4 linked regions of the Caenorhabditis elegans genome follow. The protein of the gene in region 3 interacts with the protein of the main gene of each other region in a pairwise test. Each region holds a gene or a part of one and is shown on either strand. Other genes may lie near its edges.

Region 1 (5,329 bases), on a different chromosome or scaffold from region 3:
ATTAAGCTTTTACTAACCTCAACAGTATCTGTTCTCACTTCAGTTTTTAAAGACCTGAACGCATCTTCCACTTTTGAATAAGAAATCGGAATATTATTCTCAACATTGATTTGGCAAAAGTCTCCCAGAAAGATCATGTGGATGTTCAGAATATCTTCGTTAACATCGAACTCGATTCCATCTGTTGGACTGAAAGTTGAAAATATTTATTAAACCTAATTCGAGAAAATATTATTTTATTTAGAAAAAATAGCAAACTCACGAGACTACGGCGACTTTCCCATTTGATTTTCGTTGTGCGGCTAATCCGAGCATTATTTATGACTAAAATATATTAACGGTCAATGTTTCAAGACGGGAAACTTTGTAATAGAAAACAGGACATCTGGGGGCGTTTTTTAATCAATCGGCAATTAAATAAAGTGAAAAATGTTTTGCTTCACTAAACAAAATTCTTTCTGGCCTCTCAATGCTCTCAAGAAGATACAACTTTCCGGTGGAAACGGATGGTACATATGAACAGAGATACAAAGTTTAATAAGAAACTGGGAAACTTTTATAAAATACAACAAATACGGGGCGCGATTAATGCGCAAGTTGGACAGAAACCGTGAAAAACTCGGCACCCGGCAAGTTATAAAGAACACGTTTTCAGGTAGGGAGATCTGTCTCAATATGATTAAATAACATGCAAAACAGAAGAAAAAGTTAGTAGTCATCATAATTATTCATCTGAAGGTGGCGTGAGACTTTTCAGCGGAGGAGACGTCGATGATTTTTCAGAACCGGAGGATCCTTTTTTCGAGTCTGAAATTAATTTTTTGTTTATTTATAGTAGCTAATATAGATAATTGTTTACCAGTTGATAAAGCTGCTGAACTCGAAAATTGCTTTGAGGCTATGAACGATCTGTTGAAAGCATTGTGAGGATTGTAGTATTCCGTTATAATAAACGGATTGCTCTGAGCAGAATCAATAATCCATTGATATTTGTGAGTCTATAATAATATTAATATAAAACTTTATTATCTTTATAAAAAAAATTCAACTTACCGGGCTTTCCGTTTGCGTCACTTGAATTTTCTTTCGAAGAATAACCACACAATATATGGCTCCTGGCTGTAATAATTAATTTTATGTTTCGAACGAAACGACTTTATCTTACAATGGGATTTTTGATAATTCCATCAGCATCGAAAATTATCGGAAAGTTTTTGGAAGTGTATGTGTTTCTGTTTAACATGTCCTTTGATTTGTAAGACACTTGTTCCTCTATCTGAAAATGAACCGAATTAAAGTTATCATAATTTCTGAAAACATACAAACAACTGAAACAGATCGATGCGACAATTGAATGGTGAAAGTTTCTTTGTTCCAGATATCCATTTCCATCGAAATTGCAGATGAGCCGTTTCCTCTTTCTTCTGGATCAGCTTCACATACGCATAGTCACCAACATTCAACTCAAAATCATCGAAAATGAAGTGAACTGAATATATTCAATGTGTTCAAATAATTTTTTTTCTGAAAAGTTATACCACTGGAGTTATAATTATCAAAGAACCATAAGATTCCGGTTTTCGCATGAGCCATAATCTTTTCGACGAGCGCATGACCTTCCTGAAAAAAGCAAAAAATTAATTTCGAAAAAAAATATAGGCCTAGAGCGAACCAATGATTCTCCGGTATATGACGAGAATTTCTTCGGTTTCGGTTGGTACTTCCGAAGTTGTGTGGAATTATATGCTGTTTGAATTTGAATGTTGTTTCCCATGTAATAATCTCGACGCTGCTCCTGATAATGGGGATTTTGATGGGGCTGTTGATACTTCAATGTAGTCACTCCAGTATTGTTTGTAATAGTTCCTGAATTAGAGGCTGTAAATGAGACATCATTATTGGAAATAAGCCATGGAATCTTAACTAGGTCTTGAATAACATTGCTTCTAATTCATGTGATGAATCGAATTTCACATGAAATCTGTCAAATTTACTTACGCTTTTCTATAGGAATGATGTGAGAAGTCTCCATGGCGTCTCGTTGGGAAATTGCCTCGATTCGCACGCTCTGCGAATTTTCCACCATATTTTCAGCGCCGCTCACAATGAGCGAATAGATTACTCTCCAGCAAACTCCACTCATTCTACGGATTCTCGATGATGTCTTCTCCAGGACTATCTGCATGAACGCTCCCGAAATTAAAGACGATTTTTTATCGATGACAGGTCCAAACATTTGTAATTCGAACAACATCGGATGATCGGTGCTTTTCACCAAAATACATGAAATCATGACCTAAAAAAAATAAAATAATTAAAATACATTTAGGATAGATTTTTCTCACTCGAACAATTTTACCACATTGAACAACACCGACGCCACACGGACTGTTGATGGGTAAATATTCTTGAATGCTCAATCGATATCCAGATCTCGTGCTCATATACTTATCCAAATCTTTTGACTGCACATCAAATTGGATCCATTGGCCTACTAGCGGAGACAACATTGGACTGTCTACTTCTCTATGTTTTGGTGGCTGCGGAAATTTCGCCGTATGATCTGCTTCCAAGGAAACCTGTGGTGACCAACAATAAAGATAATTTTTTTGTGGGAACACTTCTGTTACGAATCCGGCGTGACGAGCGATAGAGTTAGACGGCAAAGGGGGTGATTCATTCTGAAAAAGTTTTAATACTTTAATTTTGAAATTTCTAATTAATCGAATGTGTGTTAAACCTCTTTGTTGTGTCTTTCACGAATGAACTCAGCAATTTCTCTGAGATCTTTGTCACTGAACTCGCCATCGGTCTGAGCTTTTCCATCAACCACCGACATTATCCAACTGCAACCGCGTAATGATCCTCCACAATACTGAACTATGAAGGAAACGTTATCTCTATTGTCCTCTAAGTACTGCCGATAAGCGCTGGATCCGAGCACACGGCCAAATCCAGGAATCATGTACAGCTCCGCCGTGAGATGAGGATCGCGCTGAAAATTTAGTTATTTAAAAATGGAATTATGACCTTGCACTAACTTCGAAATATGACATGTTGCTATATGGATTCACAAGCGGGACGACCACTTCACTATACAAAACCGTCTGAAAGTTTTGCCGTCAATTGAGCGAAACAGTTCACGTCCAACCTTTTCATGACAAAGTTCTGAAGCCTTTCGTTTCATAAATACAGTTCCATATGATACACTCATCTCGTAAGCTTTGAGAATCAAAGGCCATGGTGAACATGAAGCAACCGTCGCGTCAGGATATAAACCAACAATCATCCAAGTGCCCAATGTGAAATTCTGAAATAAAAATTAGAGAACTCGTTTATTCAACTTCACTTACTGAGAATATCGGTGAATTTGATCTTGGAAAAGAGACTTCTACACAGGAAGTGAACACCCAAACTCCAATTTCTGTTGTTGTGTTTCGAACGACAACTCCTAATGTATTGATGATTGTTGTCACTTTCCTTACTCTCGGTTGTGGTGGCGGTTCGTTAGATCGATCACTTTGTGTGGCAAAAGTAACCACACACGGTTTTTCTTTGCCCTTCGGTAAAGAGGGAACTTTTGTTCCCGACATTATCTGAAAAAAAACGATAATTTTAGCACAAATCTGAAAATTTAAAACAAAATATGGGTTTTTAAATAGTTTTCGCACATTTTTTTGCAATTTAATTGATAAAAAACCATTTATAAATCAACCTATTCGCGTTTCAGCGAAAGGAAACAAATGAAAATTGAGAAAATAGGTCACAAAAATTAGACTGCTCGCGGTGAGGGTCTCACAGCGAAGCAATTCAAATTACAATTCATGCCATGCGCCTTTGAAACTACAGTAACCATTAAATGCATTCAAAGCGCTTTAAAAATTGTAATTTATTTAAATAATTTTAAAATTCAAATCTAAGCAGTAATAAATTTTGAAAATTGATAAAGTTTAAAAAATTAACTAGAAAACCATAATTTTAGCTTAAAATCGGAAAATTTACAACAAAATGCGGGTTTTCAAAAAGTTTTCGCATAATTTTTCGCAATTTGAATTAGTAATACAATTTTAAAATTCAATTTTTGCAGTTTCAGCGAAAACAAACCAACAAAAATGAAGAAATTATGTCACAAAAAAGATTTCTCGCGGTGAAGGTATCGCAGCGAAAAAGTTAAATTTTAAAATTATGTCATGCGCCTTTAAAACTACAGTAACCTGTAAATGCATTCAAACTACTTTCAAAAAACATGTTTTTCTTTAAATTTAATATTAAATTCCATTTTCTAGTAATAATTTTTTTAAATTTAAATTCTAATAGTATATTTTTTTAGCGGAAAAAAAAACTAATATGAGTAGATATATATATATATATACCAGCCGATGACCGCGCCTCCGGCGCGGCCAACGACTGGCGGAGTTTAAAATGTATAACACATAGATGTCCTTTTAATCATTCAAAAATATATCATTAAAAAAGTTGAAACTTCATCGATTAAATCGCATTTTCTTCTTCCATGGTATTCGATTCAGAAAATTCAAAGAGACAGTTAGAATGTTCTGATTTTTCTACACTCAAAATTATAAAACTGCGTTGCGTGTACGCCAAAATAGTCCCCGCCTTTTTCTCGTTCACTCACGGGGAAAAGGCAAAAAGCGGTACCCCAGGTAATATCAGCATCATTCGAGGTCCGCGCACCACACTATTTTTCTCACTGTTGGGGTGGCGAGCTGTCCCCCTCCCCCGAAAAAATTCCACAGAGTTACAGTTTTTTCAATAAGTTAATAACTTTCCTTAACTGGAGAAGTCTGAATAATTAACTACTAATAGTAAGTTCTTTGAATATAGATGTGACGAAACAAATAAAAACTCCTACAGTTATAGGAGGTTGTAGAGCATTTCAGAACTTTTTTGAATTTTCCAGATGATTCTAGAACATTCTAGAATTTTCTTGAAACTTCCAGAAGGTGCTGAAACAAAAATTGATTCCAGAACCAAAATTGGAATTTCCCGCCAAATGTTTTCCTCAGAAAATTTGAATTTCCCGTCAAAATCTTTTTCTCAGAAAATTTGAATTTCCCGCCAAAATTTTTCTTGGAAATTTGAATTCCCGCCAAAATTTCTTTTCTCATAAATTTTGAAGTTCTCGCCCATATTTTTAAGGGTCCCACCACGATGGGTCTCGCCAGTTCGAGGTGGTACTTAAGCTAACAAAAAGTTTCTCAGAAAATTTGAATTTCCCGCCAAAAATTTTTTCTCAGAAATTTTGAGTTTTCGGTCAAAATTTATGGGTCTCACCACGAATGTTCCAGAATTTTTTTCGAATTTTCCA
Region 2 (6,258 bases), on a different chromosome or scaffold from region 3:
AAGCAAACATGCTCTCTCGCTAATAAGTTTGCAACATAGTGATCATCGTATATAGCGCATTTGTATTGCCGTTCTGCTGATCATGGTCTGAAGCAGCCAACATTGTGCGGCACCGCCTCCCTAATATGAAATTTTAGTGACACACGAAGTGCCCGCTGCTGCTTCAACACTTAAAGATATGTTCTATTGATGTGACATACGTGACCGTTGGCAGATAAGCAATAAACCAGGAAAATGTCTGAAAATTAGCTATTTCCCTTTCTTTCAACTTGTGCCACTCTCTCTCTCTCTCTCTCTCTCTCTCTCTCTCTCTCTCTCTCTCTCTCTATTTTTCTCCGATTCCATCCTCTCCTCCTCTTCCCATTCACCTGTTATGATCATTTATCGTCACTGGCGCCGAAGAGACGCAGAGTGATGGGTATGTGGAGGTAGAGAACACATATGGGCACATCCCCCTTACACAAATTAGGTGTGACGGCTTCGAATTAAATTGATCGATGAGCAGTCCGCACCGATGGGACAGTTCCCGGCATATTGAACAAAACAGTGTCTCAGGCTGGTTAAGACACAATTTTATGCTACACGGTGTTGTCACGTAGATTGCGGTTGGTAGAGTTTGCAGGGACGCAGAGAGGCTAGAGACTTTGGCTGTCTGCACTCTCTCCTCGCCTTCTCACCATGTGGCCGCGAGATATATTGATGGCCGAGTTTTCTCCATTCATAATGAAACAAGTCCCCCGGATGGCCAGAAATGGTTTTTATAACTTTGTTTGTGGGTGACCTAGTTCTCTCAATTGTTTCAGATAATTTAAACTATTTTGCAGAATGGACTGTTCACATTTCTCTATCATTTTATTTTTTGCTCGCTGAGCATTTCTGATCTTTTGATGATGTACTTTTTTACTTCCTTCGTCATTCCCACCCTGAACGATAAACTAATTTCCCTTTCGATTAATGCTTTTTCTTTTCCAAAATTGCACTTTTATCATTTTCAAAGAAGAAAAAGAGATGGCATGACAATTGTCAGATGATTCTGAGGTTCGACTTTATTAAAATTAGCAATGTTTTTTTTTTATGTTATGGAGAATTTTTTAAATAGTTCTCCACTGACTCACTGTTGAATAATTTTTACTTGTAGAATTGTTTCTGTGGGAGAAGCATTCAAAAATTAATCACATCTATTTTCAGAATTCCACTCCTTATTTTAGTTGTTTGTTGTTACATGTACTTATGTACTTAGTAATTGACACATTGCACAATTATTTAAATGCGTGGTAAAGTGCACAAAACAAAGAGTATAAGAATATAGTTTGGTTTTCATAGTTGGAATGCTGGACTGATTGCTGGAATGTTGGAATGTTTGTTGTGGTAGGTCGGTGTGTCTGCTGTAGTTAGGGAGTTTTCCCTAAATCCAAGTTTTCAAACACACTTCATCCTTTCCTTGAAAGCACAATTTAAAAAGAAATAAATCATATAATTGGAACATTTATTTTTAAATTGAGATCCCATTGCTGTTTGATTTGTCCCTTCTTTCTGATCTTCATCCTTAATCGTCTTCTTCCGTTGTCACCTCGAATCACAACTTCATTTATTCTTCATTATCTGATTATCACCAACCGTTCTAAGTAAGCACCTCCCATTTTCTCCATTCAGCTCTCCCGTATTCTCTGCTTCCCGTGACTCCGCCTCTTTTTTCAACTTTTTTGTGGGTTTGCTATCATTTTCTATCTCTCAATCTTTGTCACTTTGTTCTCGAAAAACGTCTGAATTGGTCGAATAATGTTTCATCCAGGTATGACATCTCAGCCGTCTACTTCTAACCAAATGTATTATGATCCTTTGTATGGAGCAGAGCAAATTGTACAGGTGAGCACTATATTGTAGGAGACAGTTCAAGAGAGAGCGCGAGAGAATGAGAGAATATGAACATTTTTGGGGAACACTTATCTATTATAGTAGTCTAGTAATTGCTTCTGATTCTTAAAATACAAATAAAACTGTCTTCGTGCTTTGCATTTAGAAACTGAAGTACAAAATTCAGACAATATTAATTTTAACTATTTCAGTGCAATCCAATGGATTACCACCAGGCAAATATTTTATGCGGAATGCAGTATTTCAACAACTCGCATAATCGATATCCGGTTGGTTCAGTGATATTTGAAAACTAATTCTCTCAAAAATAAAATGGACCTCATTTTACTATTTTTCTGCATATGTAACGAAAAAATCAATAAACTTATATCCCAGTGACCAAATCGATAAGCTTTTCAAAATTTATTAAATCAAAAAATTTCAGTTATTACCTCAAATGCCACCACAGTTCACAAATGATCATCCATATGATTTTCCGAACGTGCCGACAATAAGTACTCTTGACGAAGCGTCTTCTTTTAATGGATTTTTGATACCTTCTCAACCATCTTCATATAACAATAATAACATTTCTTGTGTATTTACGCCTACACCATGTACATCATCACAAGCTTCATCCCAACCTCCACCTACACCTACAGTCAATCCAACACCGATTCCACCGAATGCTGGAGCAGTTCTCACAACTGCAATGGATTCATGTCAGCAGATTTCACATGTTTTACAATGTTATCAGCAGGTAGAAGGGGTCTTTGAAAAATAGAAAAATTTTAAGTAAAAATATAATGTTTTAAAATACTTGTTTTCCTATTAAAATACATTTCAAGTTGTATGGATTTTAAGTTTTCAAAAAAAATTGCTGAGAAAGTTGCATATTCATATCTGCTTGGGATTTATGAAAATTTTCGAACCAAAAATTTAGATTAAACTGAAACTTCTCTACATTTGAAAATAACGTACTAGACTTGAAATTTTTATTTGATTTCCTCTGATGAAATCATTGAATAAAACTCTGAAAATTTCAGAGCTCCAGAATTTTTTCTTTCTTGTAAACTTTAACATAAAACTTTAGGAAAGAAAAAACTCTGGAATTTTTACAAAATAGTTCTGAAACTACTTTTCCACTTTTATTTTTCAGAACAATTTTGAAAAAGGTATTCCAAAACTTGTCAAGCAAAACAAAAGAAGTTTTAATAATTAAAAAAAACTCCAAACTACAAAACAAACATTGTGGGTACGGCAGGCGCCAAGATAGCTGTGGAATTTGAAAACTGGAGCATTGAAAGAGAATTAAACAATTTACACGTGTTTCAGGGTGGAGAGGACAGTGATTTTGTACGGAAAGCCATCGAATCTCTTGTCAAAAAATTGAAAGACAAACGAATTGAATTGGATGCATTGATTACAGCAGTTACTTCAAATGGAAAACAACCAACTGGATGTGTTACTATTCAGGTTTGAAATAATACAACCTTTTGCTTCTGTACAGTAACCTAAAATTTTTTATTTTATGCTTGGAATTTTCGAAAATTTCAAAATTCCAGATATAAATTTCAGCAGTTTATGGGTATTTCAAAGAGAAAAACATGTTGCTTGCCAACTTTCTAAAATAACCAACAAAATTTTCAAATTTTTTTTCGTGAATTTGAAGTAAAATAATAATGTCAAAGTTTTTTCCGGTTTGAACATTTTAAATGGATTTTTGTTAGTACTTCCGATTCTTCAATTTTAAATACAGTTATCATCTTTAAAAGTTTAGAGATCCTTGGATGGACGCCTTCAAGTTGCTGGACGGAAAGGTGTTCCACATGTAGTTTACGCAAGAATATGGAGATGGCCAAAAGTTAGCAAAAATGAACTTGTGGTACATGAAAATGTTTGAACTCGGAAATAAACTGAACTATTCCAGAAATTAGTTCAATGTCAAACTTCATCAGATCATCCTGATAATATTTGCATTAATCCTTATCACTACGAAAGAGTTGTCTCAAATCGGATAACAAGTGCAGATCAATCACTTCACGTGGAGAATTCACCTATGAAGAGCGAATATTTAGGAGATGCAGGAGTTATTGATAGCTGCAGTGATTGGCCGAACACACCTCCTGATAACAATTTTAATGGTAAGAGTTGAACTCCAAAACTGTAAGTAGAGGTGGCTGCTCTCTCTCTCTGACTTTTATGCCTGCCTACGTACCTTCTAATACTTATTTGTTTGATATGGATGTTTAGTGAAGATAAAGGGTAGATAGAGGCATTTCTCATCTGCCCAAGATGAGCATGAATATATTTAATACAAAATCAACACTGAGAATTTTAGAGACCGATTTTAAATGTGACCCAATTTTTTTCAGGAGGATTTGCACCAGATCAACCTCAGCTAGTCACACCGATTATTTCTGATATTCCGATAGATCTCAATCAAATATATGTTCCAACACCTCCACAATTACTTGATAATTGGTGTTCAATCATTTATTATGAACTGGATACACCCATTGGTGAAACCTTTAAGGTATGTTTTTCTATGAAATCTGATGACTATTCATTCATGGTGCAAATCGCCTAGAAATTTTTGTGAAAGAGCGTGATTCTATCAAAAATGTGCAATGGCGTTATTAAATAATTTTAATTTTCTAAATTTTAGGTCAGCGCCCGCGATCATGGAAAAGTAATAGTAGATGGTGGAATGGATCCACATGGAGAAAATGAAGGAAGGTTATGTCTTGGAGCACTTTCAAATGTTCATCGAACAGAAGCTAGTGAAAAAGCAAGGTAATTTTAATTCAGGATCATGAAGAAAAATATAACACTGTTTTGCAGAATCCATATTGGTCGTGGTGTTGAATTAACCGCTCACGCCGATGGCAACATCTCTATCACTTCAAATTGTAAAATTTTCGTCCGATCCGGGTACCTAGACTACACTCATGGATCCGAGTACAGTAGTAAAGCACATCGATTCACTCCGAATGAATCTTCATTTACAGTATGTTCCCATTCAGGGAGTTTTACAAATGATAGAATGTTACAGGTATTCGACATCAGATGGGCCTACATGCAGATGCTCCGACGTTCTCGATCAAGCAATGAAGCAGTACGAGCACAGGCGGCAGCTGTTGCTGGATATGCACCGGTTAGTAGTAATTTGCAAGCAAAAAAACGACTCGACGCACCATATGGTGCATCATATGATCAGTGTACTGATTTTCTGCACGGACCCAATGCCATAGTTCACTTAAAAATTATTAGTGAAACTGACTAAATTTGCGACCAGGGTGATGTATTATTTCTGAGAATCAAAGATTCAATTTACCCTGATGATGCTTCGGGCATCAGCTAGCTAATTGTACACTTTTAATTCACAGACTCAAAGCATCATATATCACGAACACGAACAAGCAAAGCCTGATACCCAAGTTTAAAAAATATTTAAAAATTCAGATGTCCGTGATGCCAGCGATAATGCCTGACAGTGGAGTTGACAGGATGCGTCGTGACTTCTGTACAATTGCGATTTCATTTGTAAAAGCTTGGGGTGATGTCTACCAGAGGAAAACTATTAAGGTATGTCGACTACTCTATAAGAACTAGTCACCAATGACTTTTTTCCAGGAAACCCCATGTTGGATTGAAGTAACTTTGCACCGTCCTCTACAAATACTGGACCAGCTTCTCAAAAATAGTTCTCAATTTGGAAGTTCCTAACACTTATTTTTTATTTTTCTTCAATAATGATATCTACCTGTATTTACGTACCCCAGCAGTTTCTCATATTCATGTGCGTTGTAAAATCTCCTTTTTTGAATTTTTTCACTTTGGAAATAAAGTTTTTAGCATAGTAAATACAACCACACTATGTAAAAATAGGTTGCAGGAAAAATCAAAGAAATTTTAAAAAAATGAGCGGTTGAGTTTTCTCTTTTGGTGGCCGCGTTGACGAAATGGAAGAATCAAACCATATGCACCATTGTCATCATATTTACTTACCCAGAGCCATTATGGTTGATTGAAAATTCATGGTTGAATTCTCACATATGGAATATCATTCCCACGAATTCCCACTAATTTCTTCAATGAAGTTCAAAATAAGAGTGCTCGACGGTCTCTCCCCTCTGTGCCAGTGACAAAAAAAGTGCCCCATTCCGGGAGAATTATGTCCCTTGAGAACCATTTTGCCAGGGGCCGTGAGTGTGTCGCCCCCTTTCTACTCTATCCTAGTGGCCCTTTGTCTGTGCGACACAAAATATTCCAAAAGTAACACTATCATTTTTATTGTCTTCTCCTACACTCATCCCCATTTCACTGAGCCATTCCTCTGAATGTTGCAGTTTTATGTGCAATTTTTTTCAGAAATCACAGAGTTTTTCTTTTTGCAAGACC
Region 3 (3,260 bases):
AATTAAACGCATCATATAAATTTTCCTATATCTATTTTGAAAAGTACGCATATTCTATGAAAATATGTAGAAAAAACGGGAAAAATTCAAAAATGGACAGTTTTAAGTGCTTCCGTCTTATAAAAAATTACTCTAAACATTTCCGGCAAATCTGGTATCCGGCAATTTGCCGTTAATTACAATTTCCGGCAAATCGGCAAACCGGCAAATTGCCGGAATTGGAAATTTCCGGCAAATTGCCGGTTTGCCGATTTGCCGAATTTGTCGACAAATCAATTTGCCGAACAGCAATTGCCGCCCACCCCTGGTTTGATCTACGTAGATCTGCGGGAATCACGGGAATTTAGCTGATTTTTCGTGCTGACGTCATATTTTTTTTTGAGAAAAAATTCCCACTTTTTTGTAGATCAAGCCGTAATGTGGAGCTACTGTACCCCTGAAATGTTATAAAAACTGTACACTCAAAAGTGATATGACATGATCAAATTTCTGCAGAAATAGGTTGAAAAGTTGCATGAAAGAAAAGGAATTTATTCGAGAAATCATCATTTGTTTGGTGGAAAATTAATTCAGGTAACGTTGTGGAATTTATTTAATTTATCTGCTACATATGGCCCATACAATCTTCCAGATCCACCGTGTGCCGGAATGGTCGACGACCTGAACGCGTAGAATTGTAGACAAGAAAAGTCCAATATGGCTTCTCATTTGGAAAAGGTCCGTCCTCTGGGTATTGAGATTCTGTTCTTCCTGAAATCAGACCAATGTATGGATTTTGCTAATGTGACTGGAAAACTAGCAGCCTGATAGATCAATATCAAAACGACCCGACATTATTTCTTCCCTAATTTCTGATAACCGTTGTTTGCTATGCACCGACTTGGAACCTCCTAAAACTCACGAAAGTAGACATCCTCCACATAATCGCGATTTTGAATTAAAAAATGAACAAGATTGAAACCCCACGGGTAGAAGACGAGCTCACCATTGTAAGTTAAATAGTTGATCATAATAACTTTCTGGAAAATGTTAAATATTTTGTGAGCTAGTAAAACAAAATGTTTAAAAAACCTTATCCGTGTTCGCAACTACACGCATCAGTTCCTCAGGTGTGCATGTTTTAAAGTTGTCCGTTGGTGGTTGACATAATTTTGCCAAATTGCTCAGCAGGTAGTATTCAGCTTCTTTTTTCAATTCTAGCATGTCTTTTTTAGAGTCCGGAAGGACTACATCACCGGATCTCATGTAGTTGAGAACTGTTTCAAAGTGCTTCGGAGACCGATCAATGAAGAAACAGTTGGAATCGTCCTTTTCAGCCTGAAATTGAAAATGTTTATAATTAATTAAAAGTCCAAAAAGTAACTCACCGGAACATCAGTTTCAATCAACGCTTTGAAGAATCCGTCATGCTTAGTTAGAGTAGATTTCAAGGTCTCGAATACAGTTCCACCGACATTCAATTTCACTGTATTTCCAGACATATTGAAGGCTGTGCAATATCTGATATTCAGACGATTCACGACAGGTATTACAGAAAATTACAGTGGAAGAAGGTAAACAGCAAAGGGAGATAAAAGAAAGAATACAAGGCAAAAACGACTACAAATGAGCCCTCCCGTCGTCTTGAATAGTGCAGAACAGAGAGAAGAGACGCAGATAGTTTTGGTCACCAGAACCTGCGTAGATACGCCGATGTGCAAGGTTCAAGGAGGACTGTTATATCTAGGAAGATCTAGGTCAAGAAAAATGAATCGATAAACAGCGTAGATTGAGAGCATAGACCATCGCTTGTTGACGTAACGTTTTACGTTGCTCGGTTTTTAGAAACACAACTGGTATCCATTCTTTGTCTTTTTCTAGCTGTGTAACAACTATAATTGGTGACCAAGACAATGAGAGTTGCTCGATTATTTCAAAATTATTTTTAATCGCAACTAGACATATAACAGTTTTCTGGACGGGTTTAGTAATAATAATATATACTTTCATATAATAAAATAAAGATAATGTATGTAAATTTTCAGATGCCGGTTAATTTATAAATTTGATCGATTTTGAGGGTCTTAGAAATCTCCGAAGCAGTCTAACTGCACTTGTATGTCCCGCAAAGATTTGAGCGGATAATTTTCTGACCACTCGGAGTTGAAGATACAAAAACTCCAAACACGATTGGGATCATCTACGTACGGTTTATCTTTCAACTCCTCTTCGTCTTTTATCTCATCTGAAATTATAAAAATCAATTACTGTCATCAATTGAAAGGAATCACTAAATAATCCGTACTATTATATTAACTAGGTATTAAACTCACAAATAAACACTTCCGCTTTATCCTTATTTCTCTCTACAAACTCGGAAAATTTAAATCCAAGAGGGATGGTGTGTAGCTGATTTTTATAAGCGAGGTAGTGAATAACAACGACCACCTGAAAACAAGTTATATTCATTTTTTGATTTGTATGTAAATAAACTAACCTTCTTGGTGTTCGCAATCATGTTTAACAGTTCATCAGCCGTTTTGTAACTTTTAATCTTTGGCATTGAAGATTGGCACAACGTTGCCAGCTTTTCTAACGAATAGTATTCCGCCTCCCTTTTCAGTTCTTTCAGTTCATTCTCGGAGTCTGGAAGATCAACATCGCCGGATCTTATATAATTCAGCACCGTTTCAAAATGCTTCGGAGAGCGGTCGATGAAGAAACTATCGCCATCTTCAGCCTGAACTTTATAAATGTAAACTATGTAAATAATAACTGGAAAAAAGAACCAACAGGCATTTCGGTTTTGACCAACGCTTTGAAGATTCCATGATGTTTAGTCAAAGTTGATTTCAAAGTCACGAACACAGTTCCGCCAACATTCAATTTGACGATACTTTCAGAAGAGCCCATCCTGATAGAGAAACAAAACCAAAATGGGCAGCAAAGTAAATGTGTATGGATACCAACCCCCACAAGTTCTCACGTCAATGCATGTGATAGTTTGCTATTTCCGAGAACCAAACGGAAATTGGGGTTTGAGGTGTGTGACAGGCAACAAACTAGATATAATATATACGGGCTATAAACGGGTAACTCTGGTCAAATCTGAAAACTGACTTTGTTCCAGCCTTGAAAAAGTTTCTATGTACATTGATATTCACAAAAATCAGAAGAAAAAAACTAATAAAATATTTTGTCACAAAATGATCAATTGAAATAAAACAAAGTTTTTGGAACGCAATAAAAATTTATTCAGGTGAGTCTTGAAAATTGAAATA
Region 4 (7,797 bases), on a different chromosome or scaffold from region 3:
TTGTGTCGATTTATGGGCTCGATTAAAATTGAGCAAAAAATTTAGAAAATACTATGCAGGCGCGGAGGAAAATAAAATATCGATATCACTATTCGGAAACAAATTCATTTCAAAAATCGAGCACGTAAATCGACACAAGCGCTACAGTAGCAATTTTTAAAAAAATTACTGTAGTTTTCGCTACGAGATATTTTGCGCGTCAAATTTGCTGCGCAATACGCATTCTCAGAATTTTGCGTTACCGTAATATACACGGTGAAGAACACGAGCCACCAGGAGTACGGTAGCCCTGACTTTAATTGCAAAAAAAGAGAAAACAGTGAAAAAAATCTGTATATAATTGCTATTATTTTTAAATTTCGCAAAAAAAATTAGAAATGACCACATTAATTTTGAATTCCTGCGCGAATGAATTCTATTTTTTGCGTATTCCTGCAATATTTATTGGATTTTCTCTTAGCCTAAAGCCTAAAACGCAGAAATTTCGAAATAATAAATTGACCATTTTTGAATTATTGGTGCAAAATTGAGAAAAATTGTGAAAAATTATACCATTTTTTGAACAATTACGCTCAGCTTACTAATTGTAAGATTACTCAGATTTATGGCAAAACACGATTTTTACGCCTTCAAAAAATCCTAGCTTTTGGCAAAACTTACAGGAAATTAAAAAATTCAGAATAAAAAGTAATAAGATCCAGGAAGCCATGACTCGAATCATTGTAGTTGAACTGTATGAATGATTTGATCCCAGCTTCTTCCGCCACCCTAAACACCCCATAATTTCCGTTTTCCGCTTGAATAGGAAATGTTGTATATTTCTGTACTCCTTCCTGAAGTATTAAAACTCGTTTTCGTTTATTAAACTGTTTCTTTTTTCAGATCACTCAACTTCCTCTTCTCAACGTCAACTTCGACTCGGCTAATTATAATTTTATTTATTTTTCTGATTTTTTTAAAATTCTTGTTTTTTCTCAAATTTCCAATTTCAACATCATCTTATTTTCAAATAAAAATATTTATTTTGCGACTTTCTATTAATTTGAAACAGCGAATATTGTTAATTTATTAAGTAAATTTAATCATTTTAGATCGTTTTCAACCGATTTTCGAGGGCTTTCCACAAATTTTGTACTTTTAAATAAATTTAAAGTTTATTCTACCGAAAACACTATTTATTTTTCCACGTGGACACCGCCAATTTTCTCTGAAAATTCTAAAATTCTGGTTGAAAATTAATTTTTAAAGCTTCCTCACGAGAAAAGCGCCAACGCACGAGGAGCGCGCCAGCAAACCCGCATTGACGCAGTCTCGGTGCACTTCTGAACTCCAAAACACACTGTTCCCGTTCGATTTTTCTCGCATTTTTCATAGTTTTTTTCGAAATTGAAGCTTTTAAAGGTGTTTTAGACTTGATTCGAAGTGAAATATTGATTGATTGAGCCGGAAAATAGGCAAAAAGTTCTGGAAAAACGCGCGAAATTAAAATTCCAGTGACTTTCGAGATAATGATATTGATTTTTCCGAGTAATTAAGTTGATATCCAGCTATTTATTTTTGCGTGACATTCTAATTACCGGATTTTCAAAGTTTTTTCGAAAAAAAAACAAAGCAAAATCGATTTATTTCGAATTACTCGCGACTTCTCAACTTTGAAGCTGAAAATAGTTAGTTTTGTTTTTTCTGTTATCAGTGCGCGCTTTTTCTGCAATAATAACATTCCGCAGTACGATTTTTTCAAATTTTTTGCTTTTCGAGAACGGAAAATCAAGTTTATTTCAGTGTGCACGAAAAACGAGCGAGATTCTGACTTGACCAGTTCGTTCGGAATCGACTCATTTTTGGAGATGAGCGGACGCTCCGGTAATGGTGGACAACAAAAAATGAGAATTCGCCCATTTATGGTAGGTTTACACACACAGATTTTAGTCCTCTATCAAGCCTGTCTCCTTGTTTTGCGTGAAAAATCGATTTTTTTAAAACGAAACTTGGAATGTTACGGCCGAATTATCCGCGATATCCGAACAATCCGTCAATTTCTGATGAGAAACTGATATTTTTCCACTGGCAACTGTATGCCACGTGGCAATCATTTTCAGTTTGCGTGCCACGTGCCAAAACTCGTCATTTCTAAAGAACAAAAGCAAAATATTTTTTTTTCATATAACAAAATCGATTCTGAGGGATTTCTAATGGTCAATAATTGTTTTTGACCGTTTAACCAGGAAAAAACGAAGAGAAAAACTGTAAAATCGTATTTCCGCCGTTTTTTATCGATTTTCTATTTTTTTTCCTATTTGCTTGGACTAGCCATTAGAAACATGAAATTTGTTATAAACGGCAATGTTCTCGCAAAAATGACCTCACATAAGAGTTTTTCGCGTTTTTTTCACGAAAAAAAAACGCATTTTTGATCGAAATTTACCGAATTTCATCCCAAAAAAGTTCCAAAATTTTTGCCAAATTTTGCTAAAATCTGATATTTCGTAAACTTTTCTAGCTGGAAAATCCCTGAGTTTAGCAAATTTTGGCGCTTTTCCGAAAATTTTGAATTCTTATAATGAAATTTTGGAAATTTTTTAATAGTCGGGCCAGTTTTTGGTCATTTAAGGAAAATGCCCAAAATTTAGAAAAGCCGCAAAAAAAAAACGGAGAAAAATGATTTTTTTTCAGGCCACAATAGACGAGCAATATGTGACACAGACATGGGAACTTTTGAAGCGTGCCATACAGGAAATCCAACGCAAAAACAATTCGGGCTTGAGTTTCGAGGAGCTCTACCGCAACGCATATACAATGGTGCTCCACAAGCACGGAGAACGTCTCTATAATGGCCTGAAAGACGTGATTCAGGATCATATGGCGTCGGTTCGAATTCGAATTATCGAATCAATGAATTCTGGAAGCTTCCTGGAGACTGTCGCCGAATCGTGGGCTGATCACACTGTCGCCATGGTCATGATTCGTGATATTCTGATGTATATGGATCGGATCTACGTGGCACAGAATAATCACGTCCTGCCGGTCTATAATCTGGGTCTCGACGCGTATCGGACGGAAATTCTGCGGCAAAACGGGATTGGCGACCGAATTCGCGATGCTCTTCTGGAGCTTATCAAATTGGATCGAAAATCGAATCAAATCAATTGGCACGGAATAAAAAACGCGTGTGATATGCTCATCTCGCTAGGAATCGATAGCCGGACGGTTTATGAGGACGAATTTGAGAGGCCACTTCTGAAGGAGACTAGTGATTACTATCGGGATGTGTGCAAGAATTGGCTTTCTGGCGACAATGACGCGTGCTTCTATCTGGCACAGGTGGAGATTGCGATGCACGACGAGGCGAGCCGAGCGTCGAGATATCTTGACAAAATGACAGAGGCCAAAATCCTGCAGGTGATGGATGATGTGATGGTTGCTGAGCATATTCAGACGATTGTCTACATGCAGAATGGTGGTGTGAAGTTTATGTTGGAGCACAAGAAGATTGAGGATTTGACTCGCATTTTCCGTATTTTCAAACGTATCGGAGATTCGGTGACAGTACCGGGTGGTGGATTGAAGGCGCTGCTTAAGGCGGTTAGCGAGTGAGTTTTTCGCGCGATTTTTTTTTAGAAATTGAATTATTTGGTGATTACAGCCGTGGGAGGAACGTTGTAAAATTAAAATTTGAACAATTTTCACCACAAAAAGGCACTAGCATGGTTATCTGTCGATTTACGAAGCCTGTGTACTCTTCGAGGGGAAATTTTGTTTTTTTACCCCAGAAATTACGGGTTTTTGCTTTAATGCGGAGATTTCAATGATTTTATTTTGTAAAAAATTGAAAATTTCACCCAAAATGGCTCCATGTGTCGGTTTAACCAGCTTTTGTGCTCCTCGAAAATTTATGTATTTGATGGTTAAATCTAGACTTTACTTTGGCACTTTTTTTGAAGAGGATTTTACAGTGTTTAGCTAAAATGCTTAATCGTTCAAATTATTTCTAATTTTAATGGTAAAACACCACCAATGCAAGCATTTCAGCCAGAAACCGTAAAAAATAATCCACGTGGAGTACACGAGTCGCGTAAATCTACACATGGCCGTGTTAGTAGAGGTTTCGCGGCCACGTTTTCGCTTCAAGAAATTTAAATTCCAGCCAATTTACTGTATTTTTATTTATCAAACTCTACTTTTCTGACCTAAACCCGTGTCACTCGCCCGCAGCAATCTGTTTATTTGTTCTGTTGTCCATTACGTCGAACACCGCCGCTTCTCCTTAAAACGCCTCAGCTGTTGGTGGTTTTAGTTTTTAGATAACACCAACCCTAACAGTTGAACACGGAGCATTCAGAAAACTAGAGCAGAATTGGGGGTTGCTCAGCAAGAAAAGTTAACTTTTTTTTCCAGATATCTCAACGAAACCGGCTCGAACATTGTGAAAAATGAGGATCTGCTCAAAAACCCCGTCAATTTTGTCAACGAATTGCTCCAGCTCAAAGACTACTTCTCCAGTCTGCTCACCACTGCGTTTGCCGACGATCGTGACTTTAAGAATCGCTTCCAGCATGATTTCGAGACGTTCCTCAACTCGAATCGCCAATCGCCGGAATTTGTGGCCCTCTACATGGACGATATGCTGCGAAGCGGTCTGAAATGTGTGTCGGACGCCGAAATGGACAATAAGCTCGACAATGTGATGATCTTGTTCCGCTATCTACAGGAGAAGGATGTATTCGAGAAGTATTTCAAGCAATACCTCGCCAAACGTCTCTTGCTCGACAAATCGTGCTCCGACGATGTGGAGAAGGCTCTGCTGGCAAAGCTGAAGACAGAGTGTGGTTGCCAGTTTACTCAGAAGCTTGAGAATATGTTCAGAGACAAGGAGCTTTGGCTGACACTGGCCACAAGCTTCAGAGACTGGCGAGAGGCTCAGCCGACCAAAATGAGCATTGACATATCGCTTAGAGTTTTGACGGCGGGCGTTTGGCCGACGGTTCAGTGTAATCCGGTTGTGTTGCCGCAAGAGTTGTCGGTTGCCTATGAGGTAATTCGAATTTTCAATTGGTTTTGCAATTTTTGAGCTTGATGTTTCACAAAACCCGCAAAAATGTCTGCTTACACGCAGGGTTGTCGTTTTTTGCCAAAAGATGGATTTTTTATACAGAAAAATGTGCATTTTAGAGACAATATATATTTTTTTCGGTTTTTCCAATCAAAAAACAACAAGTATGTTTTTTTTTCAAAATTTAATTTCCAGTCGCGATGAGATGAATTCAAAAAAAAAACGTTTCTTCTAGTTTTTCTGACCAAATACCTAGAAATCCATTTTTCTGCCAGAAAAGCCAAAAAAGATTCCGAATATCTATTATTTTTGCTTGAAATCGCTTTTCACACGCGCACCAGAGACATTCTCATTGGACCGCCACACTTGTGTCGATTTACGAGATTTCTCATGAAATTTTCAGGCCAATTTCAATTTTTCAATAAGTATGTTTCATTTTTGTGGAAAAACTGAAATCTCCGTAAATCGACACAACACGGTGCGCTCCAATGAGAATATCTCTGGCGCGAGTTTAAAAATATTATTGGGTGCGATTAAACGTGCTTTCAAGCTAAAATATAAAACCAGGGCAATTTTTAAAAAAATATTTTTTCACAAAGATTTTTGGAATTTCTTCAATTTCCCCTCGTTTTTCAGATGTTCACACAATACTACACTGAAAAGCACACTGGCCGTAAGCTGACAATCAACACACTTCTCGGAAACGCTGACGTCAAAGCCACATTCTATCCACCACCAAAAGCATCCATGTCAAACGAGGAAAATGGTCCTGGACCGTCGAGCAGTGGAGAGTCGATGAAAGAACGAAAACCGGAGCACAAGATTCTCCAGGTCAATACGCATCAGATGATCATTCTCCTTCAGTTCAACCATCACAATCGGATCTCATGTCAGCAGCTGATGGATGAGCTTAAGATTCCCGAGCGAGAGTTGAAGAGGAATTTGCAGTCGCTGGCTCTCGGAAAAGCGTCGCAGCGGATTTTGGTCAGAAAGAATAAGGGAAAAGATGCGATAGGTATGAAAAGGAAATTATAGTTTTTCGAATTTTTTTGAAAAAAATTGATAATTTGAAAAAAAAATCAATTTCCAATCGCTGCAGCCAACTTTCCCATGGGACATGGGAAAGTTGGCAAAGTTGGGTTTTTTTTGCTAACTAGGGAATGGTGTTACCCCTGCAATCGCTAGGAGGACAAACAAAGTGAAAATGGAAGATCAGATCTATGGCTACAAGAATCAGTTTTTGGAATCTGCTTAACTCGGTCCCAAAGCTGAAATTTTCGGTCTTAAAAAGTAGTCCTTTTTTTGCTCAAAATGCCGTTTTTCGTGTGTAGAAGTGGCTACATAAAAGTTTGGCACTGCAGCCGCCGTTCGAATGGCCGATTGGTGAACTCTTGTGCTCATTAATCTAAAGGTCACGGGTTCGTTCCCCACTAGGTATTAATTTTTTTTTGAATTTTTCCTCTAGCATGAAATATGCACAAAAACACGGTTTCTTCCGTTTTTTGGTAACTTCGGAATAAATTTTTTGGTTCCTGGGAATCATAAAAGTAATTTGGAAACTTTTTGGAAGTTTTCTTTTTTTGATAAATTTTCACTTTTCTCCCACCTGATGTATGCACATTTTTTTCTTCAAAAATAATTTTTCAAAATTTTTTCAAAAAGTGTTTGGTTTGAAAGAGCAGCATTAGTTTGGATATTTCTACGATTTTGGAGGATCAAATGTCATTTTTAGGAGAAAACCACTGTTGTTTTCTCTAGACTTTTTCACGAAAAGGACCTACTTTCAAAGACTTCCAGCTCCGTTGACGAGTAAAATAAAAAAGAGTTGTCAACTGCAAAGTTATTTCAAAAGTACCAATGAACAAATTGTCAGTTGAAGTTACTCTGCTAAATTTTATGGGTAGAGAGATATAGCTAATCGAAGTGAAGCTTTAACTTACTTAATTACTAATGTCCATATCTCTCTACCCATAAAATTTAGCAGAGTAACTTCAACTGACAATTTGTTTATTGGTACTTTTAAAATAACTTTGCAGTTGACAACTCTTTTTTATTTTACTCGTCAACGGAGCTGGAAGTCTTTGAAAGTAGGTCCTTTTCGTGAAAAAGTCTAGAGAAAACAACAGTGGTTTTCTCCTAAAAATGACATTTGATCCTCCAAAATCGTAGAAATATCCAAACTAATGCTGCTCTTTCAAACCAAACACTTTTTGAAAAAATTTTGAAAAATTATTTTTGAAGAAAAAAATGTGCATACATCAGGTGGGAGAAAAGTGAAAATTTATCAAAAAAAGAAAACTTCCAAAAAGTTTCCAAATTACTTTTATGATTCCCAGGAACCAAAAAATTTATTCCGAAGTTACCAAAAAACGGAAGAAACCGTGTTTTTGTGCATATTTCATGCTAGAGGAAAAATTCAAAAAAAAATTAATACCTAGTGGGGAACGAACCCGTGACCTTTAGATTAATGAGCACAAGAGTTCACCAATCGGCCATTCGAACGGCGGCTGCAGTGCCAAACTTTTATGTAGCCACTTCTACACACGAAAAACGGCATTTTGAGCAAAAAAAGGACTACTTTTTAAGACCGAAAATTTCAGCTTTGGGACCGAGTTAAGCAGATTCCAAAAACTGATTCTTGTAGCCATAGATCTGATCTTCCATTTTCACTTTGTTTTGTCCTCCTAGCGATTGCAGGGGTAACACCATTCCCTAGTAAAATTTGCCTTTTTCACGTTTTTGAACTG

What was found.
Region 1: the proteins of B0281.5 (region 3) and B0001.7 interact in a two-hybrid assay, tested with the Caenorhabditis elegans proteins (one large-scale study listed by BioGRID).
Region 2: the proteins of B0281.5 (region 3) and sma-4 interact in a two-hybrid assay, tested with the Caenorhabditis elegans proteins (one large-scale study listed by BioGRID).
Region 4: the proteins of B0281.5 (region 3) and cul-3 interact in a two-hybrid assay, tested with the Caenorhabditis elegans proteins (one large-scale study listed by BioGRID).

What each region holds. Positions count from the first base shown.
Region 1 is NC_003282.8:12,150,650-12,155,978, forward strand, and holds B0001.7 (Movement protein), read right to left. Parts: upstream 3,597-5,329; 5' UTR 3,594-3,596; coding exon 3,354-3,593; intron 3,311-3,353; coding exon 3,152-3,310; intron 3,108-3,151; coding exon 3,042-3,107; intron 2,996-3,041; coding exon 2,741-2,995; intron 2,682-2,740; coding exon 2,346-2,681; intron 2,297-2,345; coding exon 1,999-2,296; intron 1,879-1,998; coding exon 1,673-1,878; intron 1,621-1,672; coding exon 1,539-1,620; intron 1,490-1,538; coding exon 1,323-1,489; intron 1,277-1,322; coding exon 1,166-1,276; intron 1,120-1,165; coding exon 1,054-1,119; intron 999-1,053; coding exon 860-998; intron 808-859; coding exon 725-807; 3' UTR 543-724; downstream 1-542. Other genes in the region: B0001.2 (uncharacterized protein), read right to left, coding at 18-189, 263-315.
Region 2 is NC_003281.10:5,814,483-5,820,740, forward strand, and holds sma-4 (Dwarfin sma-4), read left to right. Parts: upstream 1-1,749; 5' UTR 1,750-1,794; coding exon 1,795-1,866; intron 1,867-2,066; coding exon 2,067-2,144; intron 2,145-2,299; coding exon 2,300-2,614; intron 2,615-3,189; coding exon 3,190-3,330; intron 3,331-3,634; coding exon 3,635-3,739; intron 3,740-3,784; coding exon 3,785-3,998; intron 3,999-4,229; coding exon 4,230-4,390; intron 4,391-4,522; coding exon 4,523-4,650; intron 4,651-4,698; coding exon 4,699-4,864; intron 4,865-4,909; coding exon 4,910-5,011; intron 5,012-5,319; coding exon 5,320-5,442; intron 5,443-5,490; coding exon 5,491-5,583; 3' UTR 5,584-5,715; downstream 5,716-6,258. Other genes in the region: R12B2.7 (Ovule protein), read left to right, coding at 752-772, 825-1,031. UniProt on the Caenorhabditis elegans protein: Involved in TGF-beta pathway.
Region 3 is NC_003280.10:2,299,338-2,302,597, forward strand, and holds B0281.5 (BTB domain-containing protein), read right to left. Parts: upstream 1,625-3,260; 5' UTR 1,482-1,624; coding exon 1,368-1,481; intron 1,318-1,367; coding exon 1,072-1,317; intron 1,020-1,071; coding exon 902-1,019; intron 751-901; coding exon 605-750; 3' UTR 517-604; downstream 1-516. Other genes in the region: B0281.6 (BTB domain-containing protein), read right to left, coding at 2,064-2,224, 2,313-2,427, 2,477-2,719, 2,773-2,892.
Region 4 is NC_003283.11:175,797-183,593, forward strand, and holds the start of cul-3 (Cullin-3), read left to right. Parts: upstream 1-1,782; 5' UTR 1,783-1,847; coding exon 1,848-1,904; intron 1,905-2,673; coding exon 2,674-3,590; intron 3,591-4,395; coding exon 4,396-5,032; intron 5,033-5,686; coding exon 5,687-6,065; intron 6,066-7,797. UniProt on the Caenorhabditis elegans protein: Probable core component of multiple cullin-RING-based BCB (BTB-CUL3-BTB) E3 ubiquitin-protein ligase complexes which mediate the ubiquitination and subsequent proteasomal degradation of target proteins.